Rhinolophus ferrumequinum: one gene and its partner. The protein of the gene in region 2 binds, or shares a complex with, the protein of the main gene of each other region. Links are inferred from orthologs where the notes say so. Each region holds a gene or a part of one and is shown on either strand. Other genes may lie near its edges.

Region 1 (11,501 bases), on a different chromosome or scaffold from region 2:
GACTAGTAATCAGGACTGGGTGTGACAGATGTCTGGTTCAGTTTCTGTCTGGGAAACAAATTAAGGAGATGACATACAATTGCATATGATATCCTCTGATATAGAAAAGGTATTATCAGGTTAAGCACATGTGACCATTATCGTGACACATCATACGTGGTTCAGCAGCATTCATTCAGCAGGCCTACGCTGTGCACCGCGTATTTGTCACTGTAACTAGGCATAATTCCAAACTCGTATTGTGCTGTCTTCCTACCAACACCTATACAACTACTCAGACATGTGCCTTCAAAACTCATTACTACTGACTCGGTCTTCCGTTTCAGTGCTGTGTCAATGCTGGTGTGGAAAGAATGTTCCATATCTTGGATGATCTGTGAAATCCAGACATAAAACAATAGCATCGGGAGAAAGTGAACTACCTTTTTGCAGAATACCATTTGCTTGTTAGGGAGAAAAAGTTAACTATTTGAAAAGACAAAATGTATCATCGGTATGGTTTGGAAACTAGTTTTTTATTTAAAACTGAAAATCCTAGAGAATAAAGAACTTGTAGTTGTAAAACTTTTTAATTGCTTAGCTTTTAAAATCTGCCCATTTCTCACACCGTGTGTGTACCCTGAGGGGATGTGCCCTGTGTTTTTTCATTTAAACTATCTCGCAGCTTTAAGTTCTCATTTTCGTCACTTGGTAGCCTTTGCCAAGAGAATTAACCACTCCTACCCTCTGGTCCATTTCTGTACCATAGAGATAAGACCCTCTGCCACACTTGATTGGGTCCATGAATAGTTAAGGAATATCACCGTACTCTTGCCTAGCACCTTGAATGAGGCAAGCACATACCTTACCGTCTTTTCATATTCACAAGGAACATGAATAAATGGTAGAGGGTCCTGAGACAAGAGGTTAATTCACTAAGAGACTGGTCCATCGTCAGAGTCAATGAGTAATGCAACTTGGAGCTCCAATTCAGATCTTCAAATTCTAAATCCAGTGATCTCTCTATTATACCATGTTTTATTTATTTGTTTTATTTATATGTTGATTTATGTTACTATGCATGGATTGTGTTTCTTCATTTGATTTATTTTGAACATTTACTCTGGTTTTCCCAAGATGTTGGAACATTTCTCTACGTGTTTGGAAATCTGGGTGGTAAGAAGGCATTTGTCAGCTAGTCATGTCATCAGCTTTCCCACCTTTCCATTAAACCAGTATTTTCTAGACAGTAAGGTACTATATACATACAAAGCATCATTTAGTTTGATAAATAAAAGATGAATGATGAATGGGCAAACACATTTGTGCACCAGCCATCTTATCTCACCTGTGGAGCAGGTTTACCTAACCAGTCATGGGCACACAGAGAATAACTGGCCCTTTGCCCGGCTACCCAGGCTGACAGACAGTGCAAAGGGTCATGAGTTTCTGTCTCTCCCTCAATCTCCCACTGGGCTCCTTGAATATCAAGCCTGGGACCAGGAGAGAAATAAGTACCTGTCATCATAGGAGGAGATCCTCTTGCCATCCATGACTCTGGAAGGAGTGAGGGAGAGCAGGCTGAGGGAGTAGAGCTTCTGCAGGAAGTGACCCTCTAGAGAAACAGAGGGGCACAATGCAGTTATCCTCACGGTGGAAGCAGGGCCTAGCCCAGGACACAAAAGACCGGGCACAAACTCACCTCTGACCTTGGCATCCTTACTGAAGCGCCACTGAGGCACAAAGACGGTTATGTCCCGGTGGCCACGGTCCCAGAAGTACTGCACAGCAATGGCGATGCCCCGGCTGGAGAAGTAATGCTGGAGGCCGTGCCTGCAGTGGGAAGGGGTCGGCACGCTGGGGCCCCAGAGCAGGAGAGCCTGGCAGCCTAGATGCAGTGCTCGCCCCTCAGCACATGGCCCCAACGTGAATAAAACTGCCCGTCTCCCCCTTCCCCACTGGGTACTCACACCATGGCTACGTTGCTGCCATCAATGACAATATGGCGGAGATCTGGCTGGCCAGGTACATTGGCAAGGCACAGGGTGAAAGGATCCTGCAGGGCCTCCTGGAAACGCTGAGTGCCAGTCACCAAGTTGCCCCCCCGGGTGCCTCGTTTCCACGGAGACCCCCGACCTCGAGCCACAACCTGCTGCTTGTCTGCCCTGTCTCCTCGGTCTCCACAGTGCCACGGGGGTTCAGGTGCAGGTGGGGGGCTAGGCACTCTAGGAGGTGAGGCCTCCCCATTATGGAGCCGCTGGAGGAGAGAGGCTCCCCGGGGCTGTGCTGCCCTCTGACAGGGGCCCTGGGCACCAGAAGACTCACCCTGGACACAGAATCGTCCACTTTCCTGAGGCACTCCCTCCTTTCCCAAGGTTTTCCCCTTCAGGAGGCCTGCCTGCCTTGCCTCTCCTCCCCCTGACTGTGACCTAAAGGCCACTTCTCTTTCCCAGGCCTCTTCCCCAGGCAGCTCCTTCCACCCCAAATCCATCTCCCTGGGACCACCCTGCTTCCCTCCCTCCTTCTCCACAGCATATCTCTCTGCCCTTGACTCTTGCCACCCCATAGGTCCAGTGTCCAGGGACTCCCTGCCTTCACTCAGGGGAGCTCCAACTCCCTGGTACTGAGCACCCAGCAGACCTGGGCTCCCCCCCTCCCAAGAGGGAAGTGCTTGGGGCCCCTGCCCCCTGGATGCCTCCTGCACGAGGCTCAGCAGTTCCTCCTGGATAGCCAGGGGCAGCTGCAGCAGGGCTTCTCTGTGGGCATCCTCCCGGGGCTGCAACAGGGCACAGAAGTCTCTCAGCACTCCAGCACACTGAGAGGCTCCAGGGGATGGCCCTGGCCGAAAGTCCCAGGTCAGCTGCTTCACCAGCTCCTCCACTCGGCTCTGAGCCATGACGAATGCCTCGGTCAGGCCACTGACCATGAGCGAGCCGGGTTCCCTAGGTACCAGGTGGGCTGACGTGCTCCAGACCAGGCAATCAAGGAAGAAGCCCTGGGCCCCCAAAAAGATGCAGTGTAGTTTGGGTGGGTAGTGGATTTCATCCTGTAGCTCCGGGCTACAGAGACCCTTCAGGTACTCCTGGAGGGAAAGAGGGGAAGGTAGGAAAAAAAGAGACTGCTGGAATCTTAAGTGGCCCAGTAGCCCCTGCAGGCTCATTGCTCTCCCCTGAGCTCCAGGATGCCTGGGCAGAGCAATGGAGCCCCACAGATCCTGACAAAGGTGGGGGTTAAAAAGGGATCAAGAATCTCACTTTTTTCTCTTTCCAGCTGACAGCCTGTGGCTAGTATTTCCATGTAGAACTCGACTCACTTTAAGATACAATTATAATTAATTGGTTACAAGACTGTCTCTCTAAATATTTACATGTGTATGTGTGTTATATATTTCCATCATAATGATCACCATTGCTAACTTTTACTGAACTCATGCTTTATCTCATTCATGCTTTACCTCATAAGCCTAATGAGGTAGACACTATTATTCACATTTTATAGGTAAGAAAATTGAGACTCAGGTCACAGGGCTGGTAGGTGGTAGGGCTATACTGGAACCCAGGCCTGGCCTCCCACCCTACAACGAATTCCTTGGTGGGGCCTTCTTGCCCAGCCGGATTGTCTCTGCTTTCCCAAAGAGCACAAACTGATTTGAATTGAATCACTTGTCTGTTCAAGTCCTGGCAGAAGCTGGGTCATCACAGCAGAAATAAAACCAAAACTCCAAATACAAAGTTGGAAAGTCTCTCAAAGCTCAGGACTACTGACTGAGGTTGCCAGTAAGACAAGCAAGGAGTGGAGATCCTCCCCAGGCCCTCCTCTCCCCAGCCTCTGAGTGGAGGAGGCATTGTTCCCGGAAGGGTCAGGGAGGGGCTTTCACCTTGGCTCTGCTGGCATTCTCCTTGGGGCCCTCCAGCTGCAGCCAGATGTGAGGGTTCTCCGGGCAGTCCTTCGGGAGGACGCTCATCCCTACGCGGAAGATGCGCTCCACGTGGGGTTGCTGCCGCTGCACCTTGTCCTCGGCCTCCGCAGACACGGCAAAACGGTCAGGGGACGCGGAGCCAGCCCCCCAGGTAGGCATGGCTGCTTGGCCACCCAGCCCTGGAATTAGGAAAGGCAGCTCAGAGCCTCGCCGACCCCTCAACCCAAACCTTGGTCTCCAGGCCAACACCAGCTATCAACAGGTCTCACCTAGTTGCCGATCTGGTAAACACCCCAGGAGATTTGGGGCCATCTTCGGGGTAGGAAGAGAATGTCAGATTAAAGGGACACAGGCCTTCCCTGAAGAGGAAGTCGTAGATAAACAAGACTCTCTCTGGGATGGGCGTCTGGCCTTTGGAAAAGGATGACTACAGCCCTGAGCAGGAAGCGGGGTGGGGGGCTCCAGCTCGCTCTGGGGCCATTAGAAGTGGAAGGATGACGAAAGATCCCTCTTCTCGGGGGATTCTGCAATCACCGGGTCCAAGACGGGCTCTTAAAGATGGATCCTCACCAGGGTTTGAACTGGGCTGTCCTCTGGGATCCCTCGCCTGCCATTTCCAAGGTTCTAGCCGCTCTCACCCCTCCCCCTCCCTCTGCTGCCGTCCCCACGGTCGCGCCAAGCGCCCCACCCAGGGCCTAGGGGTCGAACCGAGCCCCGCCCCCGGCGGCGCTCAGCACTGCGGCCTTCGGCTCCCGCGGCCCGGGCGCGCATACCCGCCTCGGCCGCCCGTTGTGGCCTCTCCTGCCGGTGCCTCTAGGTGCCCGCCGGCCCCAGCTTCGCCCGCGCCCCCGGCCCAGGGGAGAAAGGCGGGGGGCTCGAATCTGGGCGGGCCTTCCCGGATTTCTCACCCAACGGGGACCTCTCTTCTCCACATCTCGAACTGTTTTTTGAGTCACTTCCTGGCCCGGGGCGGAGTCAGCCGGGCCCCTCCCGGGACTGGGCCTGCACCGGGGCCCCGCGCGCGCCCACCCCCGCCCCGCCCCTCCGGGCTCCTCCGAGCTCCGGGCGTCGGCCCCGCCCACTCGCCCTCAGTTCTCTGGGTCCCCTACGTCTTCTCCCGGTTCCTCTGGGTTCCCGCTGGTTCTCCGCAATTCTCAGGAAAGAGGAATCACTCTGAGAGTCGGAGGTGAAGACAGCCTTAAAGGGACTAATGCAGTCCCTTCGGATGAAGTTATGGAAGCCCAAAGAGGGAAAGAGACTGGCCCAGCGTCACAAGACAGTGACACCGTTGGCCCAAGCACTTTCCACCAAAACAGTTGTGGGGGAAAATACAAGGGCACTCCTTTCTAGCGATGGAAAAGATGCCACTGAGTGCTGTGGACCTGTGAGGGATTTTGAAGAGGGGAGGAATGAGGTGGAGGAAGGGGCTGTCGGAGCTGTCTCTTGCACATCCGCACACTCTCACACACACACATCCACGTTCTCTGTGGTTCCAGTTCCAGCCTTCAATGCTCTCTGGAGAAGCTGCCCTGGGGTTCTGGCTGCAGCCCTCCTGTCTGACTGCTTCATCCCTCCTTTCCCTCCCAGAGCCCAACTGCTGTCATTTTGTGCCCTGCCAAGGAGGAGGGAACAGCAGTGACAGCAGGAGAGGCATGACAGAGTTGTGGGGCACAGAGAGGTATGGAGAGGGAGATTCTGAGACCAGGTGACAGACCCAGAGAGAAGGCTGAGGAGCAGAGTGAGGGGTGTTGAGAGTCTGGGGGAGAGTGGAAAGTGAAAGGAGCAGAAAAGGAGGCAGAAGACAGGAAGTCTTGCTGGTCACAGAGCCACTCAGCCATGCTGGTAGCAACGCAACATTGGCTACAAGGTCTCACACCCACCCCTGGGCTGCCCTTGGCCCTGATGCTTCTGGCCCTGGGGACTGGATGGGCCCAGGAGGGGGCAGAGCCTGTCCTCCTAGAGGGCGAGTGCCTGGTGGTCTGTGAGCCCGGCAGAGCTGCTGCAGGGGGCCCTGGAGGAGCTGCTCTGGGAGAAGCGCCCCCTGGAAGAGTGGCATTTGCTGCAATAAGAAGCCACCACCACGAGCCAGCAGGGGAGATCATCAATGGCACCAGTGGGGCCATCTACTTTGACCAGGTAACCCCTTACCCTGCCCAGACCTAGAATCAACTGTCCAAGCCCACTCTGCTGTTAAGGAAACAGCCTCCTGCTGTGGCCAGTTGCCCCGCAACCCCACTGCCCATCTTCTTCCCCTTCACTCCTACCCATACCCCTCCTTGCCCTTTCTCACCAATTTTGTGGGTTTTTTTGAATCATGCATTCCTCCTTTTGGCAGCTACTTGCCATCCCTTCTTTTCGTTACTCACCGCCCTGTCCCTCAACCCAGTGGTTTTCCTGAGCCCCAGGTGACCCTAGCCCACTCAGCAGTGTCTCCTTCCCCTAGGTCTTGGTGAATGAGGGCGGTGGCTTTGATCGGGCCTCAGGCTCCTTCGTAGCCCCTGTCCGGGGTGTCTACAGCTTCCGGTTCCACGTGGTGAAGGTGTACAACCGCCAAACTGTCCAGGTGACCTGAGTGCTGGGCCCTGTCCTTGACCCTGTCCTGGCTTGGGAGGGGTGAGGAATAACCAGAGCCCAGCAGACTCCTGGACAGACCCTCCATTGACCTGTGTCCTGGGGGACCAGGAGCAAGGGCGGAAAGGGCTTACATAGCAGAGAGTGGAGGACCTGCAGAGTCCAACACTGACCACCCCTCAGCCCTCCCAGGAGAGAGCACTGAGCCCCAGGTTCCAGAGTATTCCTCTGGGGCTGGGGCAAAGAGGGGAAGCCCTCAGAAAAATGGGGTTCTAGGACAAGGGTTGGGGAGAAATGCTAACTGGGCTCCCTCCCCAGGTGAGCCTGATGCTGAACACATGGCCTGTCATCTCAGCCTTTGCCAACGACCCTGATGTGACCCGGGAGGCAGCCACCAGCTCTGTACTACTGCCCCTGGACCCTGGGGACCGGGTATCCCTGCGCCTACGTCGGGGGAACCTGCTGGGTGGCTGGAAATATTCAAGCTTCTCTGGCTTCCTCATCTTCCCACTCTGAGGGCTCCAGGACAAGAATCTAGCCCCTGACCTCGGTCCTCTTCCCTCTCCTGCCCCAGAAGAAGCATCTTTGGGACAGGAGAGAGGCTCCCTCTGGCTGCCTGTATTCCACCTCCTTGCATGGGACCCTGTGCCAAACACCCAAGGTGATGAGTAGAGCTATGGTGTCTTGGGACCTCTTACATACACACACACACACACACACACACACACACATACGCCCTCATAGCCTGCCACGGCATCTCTTTGTGTCTACAGTCCTAGGATCAGAGCAAGGTTTGGCAGATAGAAAGGCCTGAGCTACTTTGCAGACTCTGCTCCCCTGGCCCCACCCCTCCCCCAGCTTCTTGCTCAGAGCTACTTGGGGGCATGTGGCACAGGTGAGCCTAACAGGCCCCCACAGAGGCCCAGATGGACCAGCCTCGGCATACCCAGCAGGCTCCTTCCTGTGAGGAGTGCCAGCATCACGGAGCTCTGCCAGCATAGTCAGGAACTGAGCCAGCACCATATGGAGGCTCAGCCACCAACAGAAGTGTGGGGAGGGCCGCAGAGCAGCCCAAAGCCTAGGGCTGGTAGGGCAGGAAGAAACATGTGCCTAGCCTGAACAAGGTACACATTTTTTATGTACACTGGGGCAGCCAGCAGGCAGTGAACCTGGGTGTTCATCTGTACCAGTTCCCAAATGGACTCTGGCCCTCACGTCCCCCCCGCCGAGACATGGGTTGTGTATGTGTTTGCTCTGGCTGACAGTGAGTGTGTACAGTGCTCCCTCGGGCAGCTGCAGATGAGGGTAAAAGGTCATGTGTGGGCAAGTGTAGATCTCCAGGCATGGCACATATCAATGACCATAGCCAACTCCCGAAACTCCACCTTTGTAGTCTGAACTTCAATCACTTCACATCCTGACCACCACGTCCTTCCTCCCAACTCTCTCAGTTAATCTTCACTGTACCTGTTCCAGACTATCCCATAACCTCTCTTCTTTCTTCTGATCTGTCCTATGTTATCCTCCTTCTTAAACTTCCTATTACCTTGGATTCCATGATCCATCCCTTCACCCACTCTCCTGCCAGTTTTATAAACTCTCTTACCTTGCTGTCCCATTGGCCTAGCATGGATGACTCTATCAATAAAGTAACTAGAGAATGATGGGTGATGAGACACTCTAGGATCACTAAAGATAAAAGATGCCATTACAATTCGAATCAGGTTACAGGATATAAGCTGGTATGTTGTAGAGAAAATAAATGTAAAACTATGTTAGAGTCAAATAAAAAAGGATTTACTAATGTTTGAATTAAATAGGAAATACCAATGTGAATTTGTGGTTTTCAAAAAGAAATAACTTTCTCGCTAAAATGTAGCATAGAAACAACATTAGGAAAAAATCTAATATACATTCTTAGCACCTGGATCTTTGCCTCAAATATTATTCACTTTAAAAGGACTCACGGTTCCTTGGAAAATCGCTCCATATCTTAAATAACTCTAGGCCTGGAACATATTGATGACAAAAAGCAAGGGTACTTTTTCAAATGTATAGGGTGGAGCTGAAAAGGCAAAGGAACCAATTTTAAAATATTTCCACCTGACATTCTGTGACAATTTGGTAATCAAAAGGAAAATAATATAGTTAATTGGAACAAGGTGAATTTGTAAAAATTATGACTAATGATACTCCAAAAGGAAAAAAGTCACTATAAACTGTGCAAAAAGATAATTAACCTACTGAGTGAAGAAGATTAAATATAATAGGATATTTTTAGCTAATTTTGATGAGTAGAAGAGTGTAAATATAGTAGGTATTTTAACTTTTCATAAGGTACATTTACTTTTCTTTATCTGTATATGAGTAAGTAGGGAGGGGTGGATATGGAAAGCTGTGAGTAATTCCAGAAAAGGTTGGAACTGTACCAAGAATGAAAGAGACTGATTGGCACCATCTGGTCATATATTACAACTAAGAAGAAAGAAAATCCAACAGTGTGTTACAAGATGATGAATTAGTCAAATGTCCTGAAGATAACTGCTCACTGCTCAAACTTCATCCTTCCTCTCTAGGGAAAGGGAGCCTCTATATTATTCTACTAATTGTAATGAGATTATAGGAAAGGCAGTATAACCCAAAATAATAATGCCTTAAGCAAGATAGATTATTTCTGTCTCACACAGAAGAATCTGCAGATAAAGGGTCCAGAGATGGATGGCAGTTCTTTTGGGTTCCTAGACCCAATTCCAATGTGTGGGGGGAAGGAAAGGTCGCTTCCCATACAACACCAAGCAATTCTCGGAGACCAGTGAATTCCACTTAATTCAACACAATTCAGACATTATCTACCTGGATACTGCATCAGATTCCACAGGTTAAGGGGTCAGTCCCACAAGACTGCCCCCAAACTCCACCCCTTACTTTAGACCCCAGCCAGAAGCACAGGCTGTTAATTGCGCTCTGACCAGCCATTCATAGACTGGAGGGCCCAATGACCCCCTCCTTGGCAACTCAATCTAGACACCAGTCTAAAATCCAGGTTGTGCTTCTGATCAACTGGCTAGATTCCAGTGTTAAACAAAAATATTTTAACTTACATGACTGACAGTGTTTTCGAAAGAAAGGGTTTATTAGGCCATTGCTAGCAAAAAAAGAAGACATGTCTTGGGGCATGGAATCTAAACCATCAGCATTATGGCTACGTAGAAAAGATAACATGTCCAATGTCCAGCAGTTTTGCAAGTATGTGTATATATCAAGGAAGGGGCAGATAGGTGTAAGTCATTCTGTAAGGATTTGCATTCGCTATAGATAAAGGTGCTGGGTGAAGGTGAAGCAGGGCTAGTGCTGATATGGGCACAGCAGAGTCCATAAGGCTCATGTACAAATAAGAAACGGAGACTCGTGGGGTTCCACAGCACCCAGCTATTCTCTCTTTTGAATAATCACAGAAATAGTCAGCTGGAAATTAATCCTAAATTCCAACAAATACACAGGAATGTGAGCAGTCTTTGGTCATAGCTGGTCCACTACTATCAACAGGCTAAGTGTTCTGTCTCTTTCTCTCACTCTCTGGTTGCTGTAGTGTTCATTTAGAACATCTCAGAATTTTTTCTCTTGTCACCAGTGACCCCCCCTTGGGTTCAATTAATTTGCTAGAGAGTCTCACAGAACTCAGAGAAACATGTTACTAGACCACTGGTTTATTACAAAAGGATATGATTCAGGAACAGCCAGATGGAAGAAATACATATAGCCGTCATGGGGAAAGGGCTTGGAGCTTCCATGCTCTCTTTAGGATCCACTCTTGCAAGTGTTCACCAACCTGGAAGCTTTCTAAACCCTGTCCTTTTGAATTTTTACGAAGGCTTCATTTCATAGGCGTGATTAATTCAATCACTGGCCATAGGCAATTGAGTCAACCTTCAGTAGTCCCACTCCCCTTCCCAGAAATGGAGGAGGGGGGCAGTGGGAATGAAAGTTCCAACCTTCTAATCATATGGTTGGCTCCATTGGTAACCAGCCCCCATCCTGACGTGCTTTCCAAAAATCACCTCCCTAAATAACAAAAGGTACCTTTTTCATTCTTAACACTTAGGAAACTCTAAGGTTTTCAGGAGCTATGAACCAAGAATTGTGTGGAAGAAGACCAAATATATATGAGAAATGGTCCTCTGAATGACCAAATATATATTGCTGAATGACCAAATATATATTTCTTATAAATCACAATATTGCAGCAATTTTGAGATCATCACAGCCCGGTTTCCCTTCTTGCTGCTCTACCATCTGCACTATACGAGTATCACCTCCTGACAAGATGGCTCCTTGAGCTTAACCACTATATCGCCTTACAGCCCCCAGGAAAGAAGGAGTAAGGAAGAAAGGGCACACCACTTTCCTTTAAAGAGTCTTTCTGAAAGGCACACCTAACATTTCTGACTGCATCTCACTGGCTGGAATTTAGTCACGCATGGCCACACCAGGCCAGAGAGAAACAGTAGGAAATAGAGTTTTTATTCCAGGCAGCCAGGCCCAGCTAAAAGTCAGGAGTATTGTAATAAGGAAGAAGAGGACGTTTGACACTGGGAAAAACAACTAGAAGTTTTTTAAAACGCAAACGAGCTAGATGAATTTGTAAATAATGTTAATACAGTTGTTGTACTTGTTTTCTATTACCATGTAACAAATTGCATAAAGCTTAGTAGTGACTTAACACAACACCCATGTGTTATCTCAGTTTCTGTAGGTCAGAAGTCCAGCAGGGCACACGTAGATTCTCTGCTCAGAGTTGCAAAAGGTCAAAAGCAAGGTGTAGGCAGGACTACCTTCCTTACTGAAGTGGGAGAATCCACTTCCAAGCTCATTCAGAATTCATTTCCTTATGGTTGAAGGGAAGCAGAGTTTGCCACCCCAAAATATGCCTTTTTGGGATATTGATTATTTTAGGCTGATTAATTTCAAGAAACAGCACACCTGGGAGAAGCTCTGAAAACCGGGTGAAAGTTACCCTCCGTAAAGGACATTT
Region 2 (11,675 bases):
TAATGAAAAACATGACAAGACCAATAAATGTAAGAAATACGAATTTATCACTTCACTAAAAAAAAGGCTAATGAATTACCTGAAGGATTCATCCAAACATGCATTGACCAAATTATGCCTATATTTTATATATACTTTTTTTTTTTTTAATTGGGGAAGGGGAACAGGACTTTATTGGGGAACAGTGTGTACTTCCAGGACTTTTTTCCAAGTCAAGTGGTTGTCATTTCAATCTTAGTTGTGGAGGGCGCAGCTCAGCTCCAGGTCCAGTTGCTGTTGCTAGTTGCAGGGGGCGCAGCCCACCATCCCTGTGGGTCTGGAGGAATTGAACTGGCAACCTTGTGGTTGAGAGCTCACTGGCCCATATGGGAATTGAACCGGCAGCCTTGGGAGTTAGGAGCATGGAGCTCTAACCGCCTGAGCCACCGGGCCGGCCCTATATATACTTTTAAAATATAGAAAAGTTCAAGTTAACAACCCAATTTATGAGCTTAAAATGGCTTTGATGTTTCAAACCAGGCCAAAAAAATAATAATAAAATTCTTAAAACAAAAAACTAGTTTCTAAACATACTGCAAGAAACTGAAACAAAATTTCTAAATATACTGGATATGTGACATATTGAAACAATTATCGATTATGTCTGTGTAGACATTTTTTCCTGAAAATGAAAGTCAGATTATAAGACAATCAGGGAAATTTGAACACCAACTTGATATTAGATGATATTAAAATTGTAACTGTAAAACAACGTGATCACTGTGGTTATGTTATTAAGAGTCCTTATCCTTCGGCAATAAAGTTATTTATGAAGCAAATGATCGCCTTTTGGTTTAAAATAACACATTAGAGTTGGGGATAGGGATGGGGGAATAAATGAAATAAGACTGTCCATATTTTGAAAACTGGTGAAGGGAAATTTTGTATACATTTTCATATATAGATATGAAAATATCCATAGTAAAAAATTAAAAGATAAGAAGCATATGTATTTAAAACTTAGTTTAAAAGTCAACACTAGTTGGTGAAAAAATGTTCACAACAGAACAAAAAAAAAACAAAGCCCTCCAACTCTGTTATTCAGGATAGTGCTAGAATGTTCCTTCCTCTTCTTTCTCTCCTCCCTCCTCTCTTCCCTCCTTCCTTCCTGATTTCCCCTGTGCCTTAGATGTTTTCCTCTATACACATAACTTCCCCAAACCCAGAAACAGATTTTGAAACTGATGCCTCACAACATATTCAATAAATATTATTAACGCTGCATATTCAAGAACTTTTTAAAAAAAAGTTCAGTTTTGCCCTGAACAAATACATTTTTTAAAAATACTCTCTCATCCACCTCGCGCATTGAAAACATGTCTTTTGTATGTTTTATTACATATATTTGGGATGAGTAATCTAAAGTCTTTCGATAACAAGGGCATGATCAAAAGTTAGAACCACCATTTTGGACACTAGGACATCGCTTAAATTTTTTAAGGAGAGCCAACTGTGTAAAGTACTATATCAAGAAAAATAACTGAGCAGAAGTACACAGGGATGGAAAAGGTGGAGAGAAGGTTATGGTAGGAGAGAACAATTCACTAATTCAACAAGGCATTCATTCAGAAGTGAGACAGGAAGGAGGACCCGCAGGAAGGGGATAGGAGACTTCAACAAAAGGACTTGGTGATTAAGGTATTGTGAAGGATGAAGAAGGGTTTGGGGGGAGTGTCAGAGACCCTGCCCTGGGAAGAAGTTGAGTGTCAGAGACCCTGCCCTGGGAAGAAGTTGAGTGTCAGAGACCCTGCCCTGGGAAGAAGTTGAGTGTCAGAGACCCTGGGGGAAAGTGCCCAGGGGGGAGGAAGATGAGTTTGACTCTTTTATTAGCAGGATATTCAGGTAGAGATGCTCCTCAGACACTAGGAGAACCTAGATTCGGTTGGAAAGTCTGGGCAGCGGGGCGGTACACACGGGAGCCATCTTTGTAGATGTGACAGCTGACCCCAAGAGTGAGCTCTCTCAGGGAGACTTGATAGGTCAGAAGGCTTAACCCAAACCTTGGGGCACACCTATATTTAGAGGCAAAAAAAAAAAAAAAAAGAACAAGTGGAAACACAGCAAGAGCTGCCTGACAGGTAAGGCGCTCTATTTCAAAGTGTCCACAAGAGCGGGAGGTCAGCGGTTCCAGCCACCGCGGTGAGACTACGGGGAAAGAACACATCATTGGGATCCTTGAATAGGACCGTTCTAGTCAGGTGGTGTGGACGAACGTCCGATATCAGAAAAGCGACGATGAGGGGAATGCAGGCAGCTAGGCATGGAGGGCCAAGCAGAGACCCGCGGCCGGCGGCGGTGGAGACGCAACCGAGTGCGGAGCGCGGCGCCGGGTGCTGGGAAAACAGCAACGCGCCTAGGGATGGAGGTAGCAGGGAAAGATCCAAGAGTCCAGGGAGTGGGGACATTTTCCTTCGATCCCAAACCTGCCTCCAAATTCTCTAAGCCCTGGCGGACCCCAAAGTACTTTATTCTTCTGGGGGCGGGGAGTTAAGCATAGTCTTTGCCGGGGCCATATCGCGTTAGCCATATTCGAGAAAAGGTCTGGAGGCGCTAGAGGAAGGGAGCAGAGAAGTGAGGGGCTGGAGGAACAGGGTGTGGGGTAGGAGGAACCCCGAGGGCGCGCCCCTCGCGGACAGCAGCCCCGACAGTCCTCGCAGCCCGGGCCCCGCGGAACCGCCCCTCCTTCGCAGCGCACTCACCGCTCCGACTGCGAATAGTGGCATCGGCCCAGCAGGTTGAGCTTGCAGAGGTGCAGGTTTCCGCAGCTTTTCTGGCAGAACTTGCGACGGCAGACCCGGGCTCCGGTAGTGGCCACCACGGACCGGGTGACCCCGGCCCCGCCGCCGGTCTCCAATATCACGAAGCGGTTGGGCCCGGCCGCCTCCAGCACCTCGCAGAGCTGCGCCTCGGAGAGCACGATCTCGTCGAGCAGCGCGTCCAGGGCCATGCGGCCCCCGTGGGCGCACAGGATTTTGGTGATGAAGCAGCACACCTCAGGGTCCGCCATGGCTCTGCTCTGGCCAGGCCGCGAGGCGCGGGACTCTGCTCCGGGGAGAATCGAAACTTACAAGAGCCCCGGGGGCGGGGGCGGGCGCGGGCGGTGCTCGAGTTGGGCGCGCCACGGGCCCGCGAATGCGCGCTCCCCGCTGTTAGCGGAGCCCAGAGGTTTCGGTTTCCCGCTCGGCTCTGGGTCCCCAGGACCGAGGTCACCAACCCGATCCCTGCGTCAGATGTAAAGTCAACCGCGACGGCAACCGAATGGAAAGAAAGCGAACAGCGCACGGGCGGATCTGCTGGCGACCGTGGCGGCCACCCGTACGGCTCCCGCTGAGTTCTAGCCCCCGAGAGGGTGAGGTTCCCCAGCTGGGCAGGGTGAGGCTTCTTCCGAAAGAAGAGAAAGTAAAAATGATACTGAGGCGCTTTTATAAGCCAGCCGAAGTGGCGAATGACGCGAGTTTTGGAGCCCTCTTGAGGAGTCTTCTCTCCACCCCACCCATCCGGGAAAGAACACATCTAGTGAGCACTTGCTCGGGGCTGGACGCCCTGCCGCCGGTATTAATCTTCTTAACAACTCCACGAGTTAGGTATTGTTGTCCTCACTTTGTGTTTGAGGAACAAACGTGAGCAATACGCACAGCAATCATGCTGGAACCCGGACACTACTGAAGTGCCCCAAATCTGGCTCCCAGACCCCAGATCGTGGACCGCCTGGCTAGGGCCGATGTGCACGTTCTCCCATGGCATCGTGCCCACCTTAAAAAAAAGCGATTATTCCTCTCTCATTTGCCTTCTCTCGAGTTTTTTGAAGAACCATTTCTTGACCTTTCTTGCCTGCCTGTAATCGCTAACCTCGGTGCCCCAGGCATCGCTTCATTCTCCACAGCAAGCAGTCAGAGGTGCATGTTTGGACTTATCCCAAGTTTTCAGTTACGCTTCTCTCTTTAGACATTTAAACAAGCCCTTTTCCCCGTGTGGACCCAGTTGGGCTCCCAGAGTTTATATACAGATTATCTTACAGTGAAAACATTTGAGCTACAGAAGATGTTAAAGAAATTGTATCTGAAATTCTCTTACTCTTGACTAAATCAAAGCCTCCAGAAAATACAGCTACCATTAACCTTCCAAGGGAGTTTCCTGCTAATTCCGTTGCCCGGTGAAGACAGACTGCCCATTGTCATTAGCATCAAAAAACCCAATAGAACCTTCCATATCCTCCCCATTGAAGCCCTTAAAAAAAAAAACAAAACAAACAAAAAAAAAAAAACCCTTAAGTTGAGATATAAACTTTTGGCTGTTCCAGGAGTTTTTCCGTTACTGGGAGCTACCCAGCCCTCCTAAGGTATAAATAAATCTAGTCTTTCCTCCTGTTCATCTGTCTATTGTCAGTTAATTTGCAGGCCCCCAAGCCTGGACCCATCTTGGAAGAGGAAACAGTTTTTCCTCTCAGCACTCCCAAGTAAAATAAATGGGTCACTGATCAGATCAGAAATAAACCTTTTTAAAAAATGGTAGAATACGGTTGTCCGATTAGAAAGTCTTCAAAATGATCAACGCAAATTCTCAGTTTAGTAATTCGCGGTAGATGAACTGTGTCTCTCAAGAAGAGAATACTTTGGTATGAAAACCAGCCAAACCTGGGGCTCACTCAGGATCATCTGACTTCCTGTTCCCTCTAGCTATTACTTCTATAGTTGCCTTGATCCACGTGGCCTTATCTGTGTTCTGACTGGTTCCCAGCACAGGGCTTGCATTATCAAATCAATTAAGTTCAACATGGTATCTTCTGTGTGGTCTTACATTAGTCACTCTGAACATGCAGAAGTTTAAGAAATAGTCCCTACCCTCAAGGAGTTTGTGTTTGGGAAGACATGAAAAAGCATTCTAACATAAGGGAATCAGTTGTTAAAAAGAAAACCACAGGCCCAAAATGCATCCCTTATGCTAAAAACCCATGAGAGCAAACATAGATTTAACTGCAGTTTTACCCTCTCCCAGAAATAGTCTCAATCAGTCTAGTCAAGAACCAGTAAGATAATCTGTCAGTGAGCCCTCTCCACCCTCCGCGCCCCCAAAAGGAAGAAGAGGCGATCTGAATGATAAAATCCTTACCTTTTCTTTCCCCCAAAAAAGATGATGTCCTGGTCTAAAAATAATCCTTTCTCTCTTTTGCTAATAATGCCTACCACACCCTTCTGCCTATAAAAACCTTCCATTTTGTACAACCCTTCAGAACACCCTTCCACTTGCTAGAGGAGATGCTGTCCGATTTCTGAATCCCTTGATAAAGCCAATTAGGTCTTCAAATTTAGTCAGTTGAATTTTGCTTTCCAAAAGGTTAAATGCTGCAATCGGTGTATGAGACATTTGAGAAGAAAGAGCACAGTTTGGCTAGAATGGTTGGGAATAAAGATATAAAATTCCCCTCAATTTGAAGCCATGAAAAAATGATTTAAGGGATTGTGAGAAGGGAAAAAGCAGGCATTTTGGGCAATTTTGAAATGTGTGTTGTCACAGGTGGACTTCTCCAGGAAGCAGACACTGATATGAAGCTCAAAGCTCGGAATACAAAAGGTTTCCCAGGGTGTGACATCAGAGAAAGTCAAAGGAAGAAGCAACATTGGTCCCTGGGAGCTTTTAGATTGCCGTGCAGACCTCACAAGTCTGCCAGCCTGGCCACCACCTTGCTTGGTCATGGGGGAGAGGGGCACTACAGAAGTACTATGTTTTAGCTCAAGCACTGGGGCAGATCCTGAAGGAGCTAAAGCTGGAGGCTACGGCCTAAACACACTCCCTGAGTTGGGCAATAAGCCCTAACGTAAGGGGGATCTAAGTGACACACTATCTGCCATAGGCCACCCTTTGCGGCACCTGTATCTATTTCTCCATCTGTGTTCAGGGAACAGCTCCTTTAGGCCTCTGATGGCCCGCTCTTCCTGAAAGGAAACTTAGCAGAGGGAAGTCAATGGAATGAACTCTAGCCCCTGTCACAGCAACCAGCTGCAAAGCCACCACAGGCCTCATGCTCTACCTCTACCACTCTGCAGTCTAATTCCCCTCTCCCTCGATTACCACCTCAGGTTACTTGGGTGGGCACCTGAAATCCCCATTCCTAAGTGCTCCGACTACCTTCTCAGACTAGGGCTGTCATTCTTGTCTTGTCCATTCAGTCACAATCACAGCACCGAGTGCCAACTGACACCCAAATTATTAGTCACCCAAGTCCCCGCATATTCCTCCGGCTGTCTTAATAGTGGCCCTACTTCCTTCTGCTGAGTAGCTCAATTGCCACTGAACAGTTCTTTGTCTGACCTCTTAGTCTCTGACCACAAGGAGGCCAAAGAGCCTGGTGACAGCCATAACTTGTAATCCAGTGGAATTTTTACTGTTTTACTCCAGGCAAGAATGTGCCCCTTTGGGGGACCAAAAGCTCTAACCCTGCCGAGCCCAGAGTTGTGGAGACAGAGAAGTGCAAATGGGTCACAGGCATGAAGCTAATGGGGGTCACTCATGCTTCCACCCCTTGTTTCCAGACCCACGCACTCTTTCTATCAGGGAAACAGCACCATACTAAGTTGTGTGATGAAAGTCACATACTACGAAGTCCTGGAGGAAATGTCATCATTGCAATGTATTACCTCCATGCTGGAGCTTCAGCTGCAACAGTAACGGACCTTTATATATCCAGCAGCTTCTGGGGATAGGGTGTGTGATATGACCAGCAGATCCTATATTCATGGGCCCACTCCCCCACTCTCGGTGCCATAGACAGAGTCCTCTGGTCAGATGCTATGTTACATGGGATTCTAAGTCCGTGGATCAGATGATCTTTAAGCCCCCCGAGAGTGGTGCTACTGAGGCACTGCAGGCAAGGAAAGCAGCCCCACATTTGGAATCAGCGTCCATTCCTGTGAGAGCAAAATGCCCGCCCTTCCAGGGAAAAGGGGGCCCCAATGTAGTCACCTGGTCACCAAGTAGCCTCTTGCCTCCTCACCAAATATAAAAGCTGAGCATTGGTCTTTATGGCTGGCAGGTTGGACATGCAGAGGTGGCAGTAGCTATATTCGTTTTGGTAAATGACAGTCCATGCTGTTAGGTTTTTACATCAACCCCATCTCTGCCACCATAGCCTCCTTGTTCAGGTACCCACCATGTAGCAGTCGGGAGCGAGGGGGTTCTGACAAAGCCTGGCTCCATTAACTGGATAAGTTATTCTGTCTAGTTGGCACATCTTCTGTGATAGATACTTACTAGTGGACTTCAACATGTGATATACACAACTTCCCACTCTGAGTGCACTCCTACAGGTCCATCCATGTTCCTCTGCCCCACACCTTCTTATCTCTGATGTTATATCTGTTCCTTTCAGGCCCCCTACCCACAAGCCAAGCCACACATCACTGCCACGGATTCACATATGTTCTAACCGAGGGCCATTCTCCTTCCAGGCAGAGTGGACGCCCAGATGCACCTCCCAAAGCCCCTCCCACTGGGGCGATTTCCCCTCACCACTGTGTTCTAAGCGAGTGAGACTATAATACAGCCGCCGTCCGTGTCTCGCTTGCATGCACATAGTGAGACGACGACCCATCCAGAACTCGAGCTTGGTCTTGTCTTTCCTCTTTTAGCAATTTATGTGGGACCGCCTCGTATGGCCCTCGGTGTTAAGTTGGGGGAGGAGTGCCAGTGCAACTGTAATGAGTGACACGAAGATCCAGGCTACTTACTCCTCAGTGAGTACTGTGCTCCGTCCGGATGGTGCTCAGTCCCAGATGTACCTGTTTCGCCTCATGATGGCGATGATGCTGGGCCTGCCGGGCTTTATGATCTGACGTGTCAAATAGGACGTAGCTCGTGTGGGCCAAATCCAACCCACGGTCATTTGTTATCTCTACCAGTGCCCAGCAGCAAGCTAGGAGCTTCAAAAGGAGTGTAATTCTTCCCCGCAGTTGGCATAACCTTGTTCTATGATCCCAGGGGTCTGCATTCCGATTCTTCTGCTGGGACATGCCATTAAGGCAGCACTGCATGTCTTCCCGTCATTGACACTATCAACACTCTAGCCTCTGCCAGATGGTAGAGTCCAAGCAGAAGAGCTGTTTGTATCACAGTCTGGACCTGCTGCAGAGCTCTTTCTTTCCTGCTCCAAGCCCCACTCAAAGCTGGCCACCTTCCACGTCACCCAATACGTGGGTAGCAATAGTATTTGTAGGTGTAGCATGTGTTTCCTCAAGAACCCAAAGATTCCTAACAGGCTTTGTGCTTCCTTTTTCCTAGTAAGGGATCGAGATGCAGCAATGTCTCTTTTACCGAGGAGGAAATGTCCCAGCATGCTGCTGGCCATCAGGCCCCTCACATCTTTAGTGAAGTGGCAGGTCACGGAATCTTTGTAGGATTTAACTCCCACTCTCTGGGACCCGTGTCATATGAAGTCACTACCATGTGCACTGCCTTTTTCTCATCCTGCCTGAGCAGCATGGTATCACCAATGTCATGGGTCGAGGTGACGTTATGTGGGATGTCCAAAGTCTCCAGTTCTCTTGGGACTGTTTCAGGACAAAGGACTGAAGAGTGAACACAAAACTGTGGCAAAACTCTAAATGCTTGTTGGTACTCATTCTGTGTGAATATGAACTATTTCTGATCCTCTTTCCTGATTGGGATAGAAAAGAAAGCATTCGCCAAATCGACGGCTGCCAACCACGTAGCTGAGGCTGCGTAACTCCAAGCTAGCCAAGCCACTACAGCAGGCACAGCAGGTGTAGAGGGGTTGCACTTCTTGCAGTAGTCTGCAGTGATTCTCTAGGACCCATCCAGTTGCTGCAAGGTCAACACTGGCTAGTTATACAGAGATACAGGACAACATTTCTTCATCATTTTTATATTTAAGAGTGGCACTAATAGCTGTGGAGCCTAATGCTCTCGTGAGCCTTCTGGCCTTAACATCATGTATCTTTCCAGCATATCCACTTTGCTGAATCTTTTATCCTTTCTTTACTGTCTGCCCCAGAAATTTAGGCATTCCAACCTCATTCTTTGTAGGCCATCAATTTTCCAGGAGCCACCCAGCAACAGATTTGCGCCATCCTCTGGTTCTTCACAGGATGCTAAAGCTCAGAACCTGTGAGAGCACTCCTATGTCAATAAATTCTCCTGTAGACAGTCTTATATTCCAGCTCCCTTGGTACAGCAGGTTTGTTCAGAATTGTAAGGTATAAAATCAAAATGAGTCACTCATTTTAGAAGATTGACAAGGAAAGGAGAAGAGAGAAGAAAAAGGAAGAGGAATCATTCAGGCAGAGAGAGGGTTTTTTTTTGTTTGTTTGCTTGCTTGTGTATTAATGTTTTACTGGAAGATCTGGGCATATGTGAACATTTCAAAGACATAAATCTCGGGAGAGTGCAAAGCTGCAGTTTCTAGGGCATATTAGCATATGAGGCTACGAGATTACTTGAACCACCACCAGTTGAAAAGGGAAGCAAAACATACACAAGGCAGCAGTGAGTCAGCTATGCTAAGTCAGAGAAATGAAAAGCACATAAACACCAGAGGGTTGAGTCAGATGTCATGTCCAAAGTCCACGGTAAACAGATGTTCTCCAGGAGATATGGAAGTCCAGGGAGGCATTAGTCAGCCAGGCAGAGGAGGGTGGAGGTAAAGGGCCGGCAGAGGGGTTTTCCCTAGATTGAACCTGCCCAACAGCAAGCTCCCTGGGAACACGTGAACTGGGAGGGAAGAAGCTGTAGGTGTGGTGGAGGGATTGACTTTAGAGTAAGAAGGGCCGTTTCCCTCTTTGAAGGTAAATTTACAGACTTTGCTTTGGTGCTGTTCAAATGAGGAACTTCGGGTTGCAAGCCTTCTGCCGGGATGAAAGCACAGGCGATGAACATGTTGTACTCCAGAGGTGGGGCAATGGGAGGATGAGATGGCTTGCTGGTAGTCGGCTAGCCCCGAGGGAGCCCCCTGCCTCCTGGTATTTGCACCACTGTGTAGTCTTCTGCCACGTTCCATAGAACTGATCTGTGTAATCAACAGGATATTACAGAAGCAACAGTGTGAGTTTCAAGATGAGGTCATAAAAAACATGCTGACTTCCATATTGTTCACTCTCTCTGGGGAAGCCAGTAGTTATTGAGACAGGTTAGCTAGCATATCCCTAGGTAGACAGGGAGGTCCCTGGTGGAATGAACAAAGACAGCCATATCCTAAAACACCTTCGCTCCAGGACAAAATGTAACAACGCCTTGCGGTTAATCATAAAATTCCTTTTGGCCTGACAAATGGAGCAGATCTGATAGAGAAGAGTGGGTTATTTTGCTAATTCCTTCAGGATGGGCAAGCAGAACAAACCTGGTAGACGAATTTCATTAGAAGGCGCCAGTTCCCTTCTCCAGACAGTTTCCCTTCCCCAAGCAGGCAAGGGAAGGTAACAAAGTAAGAGCTTTTGCCTCAGTCACGGGGCACCCCCTTTCGGGACCCCCTCCCACGCAAGAGCTCTGACCCTTTGCTTTCAATAAACTATCCTCTTTTTAAAACTCTTTGCCTCTCCTGGGTCCGTGTTTCCATTCTTCGGTCTCATGAGACACAATCCCGGCACTCATTCACTCCAAAGTCCCCTACATTATTTGGGGACTCACAGAGACATATTCCTGCTTCATTATGTTGTGTGGATACGCAAGCAACCCAATGGAGAGGTCCATGTGGCAGGGGCCAAAGACTACCTACCTACAACCGGCACTAATTGTCCTTTTGGAGTGGGATCCAACAGCTCTAGCCAAGATGTCATGTGACGACAGCCCCATTTGATAGCTTGACTTAACCTCAGGGGAGACTTTCAGCCAAAACCACCCAGCTAAGCTACTCAACAGTAACTATGGGAGACGAGAATATTGATTGCTTTAAGCGATAAGTTTTGGGGTAAATTGTTATGCAGCAATGGATAATACAATATACCCAAACACATAAAGTAACAAAAGTCCAAAACACAAAGTAATGTGGACTATTTCAGGAAACTGGGTAAGTCATCAGGTCCAGTGGACTGAAAGAACGGATTAAAGGAAGAGATCGGATCAGAGGGAGTGGGAATTACAACAGGTGACCCGGTTGTGTGTGGCTGGAGAGGGAAAACAGGGAATGCACGACCGGGCTTGGAAGGCAGAGAGGCCCCAGCAGCAGGCTGCATCTGGGTGGCTTTTCATGGCTTGGGCTTCTTCCCTGAGTCCTATTCTACCTGGGATGGAACAGGATTATGACTGTGCCCTGAACCCCAAGCACTGGGTCAGACGCTGACAAGACCATCATTACTATGTCAAATGGACTCAAAGATGCAGGAGGCTTTGGCTGGAAACAAATGACAAAGATTTACTACAAGGTCTTAGAGATTGCAAACTGGAACACAGTTACGCAAAACCTACAAGGGTCCCATAGGAAAAAGAAAAGCTGAAGGCTCTTAAGGTACAAATTACCTTCTTGAGAAGAATCAGTCCTGCATTCTTAGCTCCTGGATTGGTCCAAAATGGTAATCTTCAGATATCTGGTGGTCTGGACAAGGGAATGGTTTCTTCTTGAGGTCATTTAATGGTCATCTGAGGGCTTGATGTATGACGCAGAATAGTCTGACGTGCATCCAGCGCTGATG

Evidence for each region.
Region 1: the proteins of ZC3HAV1 (region 2) and KHNYN are in contact, whole or in part, in a crystal structure (PDB 9BGL), measured with the Homo sapiens proteins. The link is inferred for Rhinolophus ferrumequinum from reciprocal best matches to the Homo sapiens genes ZC3HAV1 and KHNYN. Residues at the interface, in NP_064504.2 of Homo sapiens: Glu5, Val6, Cys8, Phe9, Lys12, Ile13, Ala16, His17, Glu29, Ile30, Ala31, Leu32, Leu113, Glu115, Phe118, Ser127, Gly128, Leu129, Asn130, Glu133; in NP_001277186.1 of Homo sapiens: His651, Lys652, Asp654, Phe655, Gln658, Arg659, Pro661, Tyr662, Asn677, Phe678.

The regions. Positions count from the first base shown.
Region 1 is NC_046289.1:74,554,596-74,566,096, reverse strand, and holds the start of KHNYN (protein KHNYN), read right to left. Parts: upstream 4,898-11,501; 5' UTR 4,672-4,897; intron 4,648-4,671; exon of another isoform or gene 4,469-4,647; intron 4,211-4,468; coding exon 4,168-4,210; intron 4,078-4,167; coding exon 3,857-4,077; intron 3,062-3,856; coding exon 1,950-3,061; intron 1,813-1,949; coding exon 1,682-1,812; intron 1,595-1,681; coding exon 1,498-1,594; intron 1-1,497. Other genes in the region: CBLN3 (cerebellin-3), read left to right, coding at 5,735-6,034, 6,342-6,461, 6,788-6,985.
Region 2 is NC_046309.1:10,147,031-10,158,705, reverse strand, and holds the start of ZC3HAV1 (zinc finger CCCH-type antiviral protein 1), read right to left. Parts: upstream 4,234-11,675; 5' UTR 3,047-4,233; coding exon 2,739-3,046; intron 1-2,738.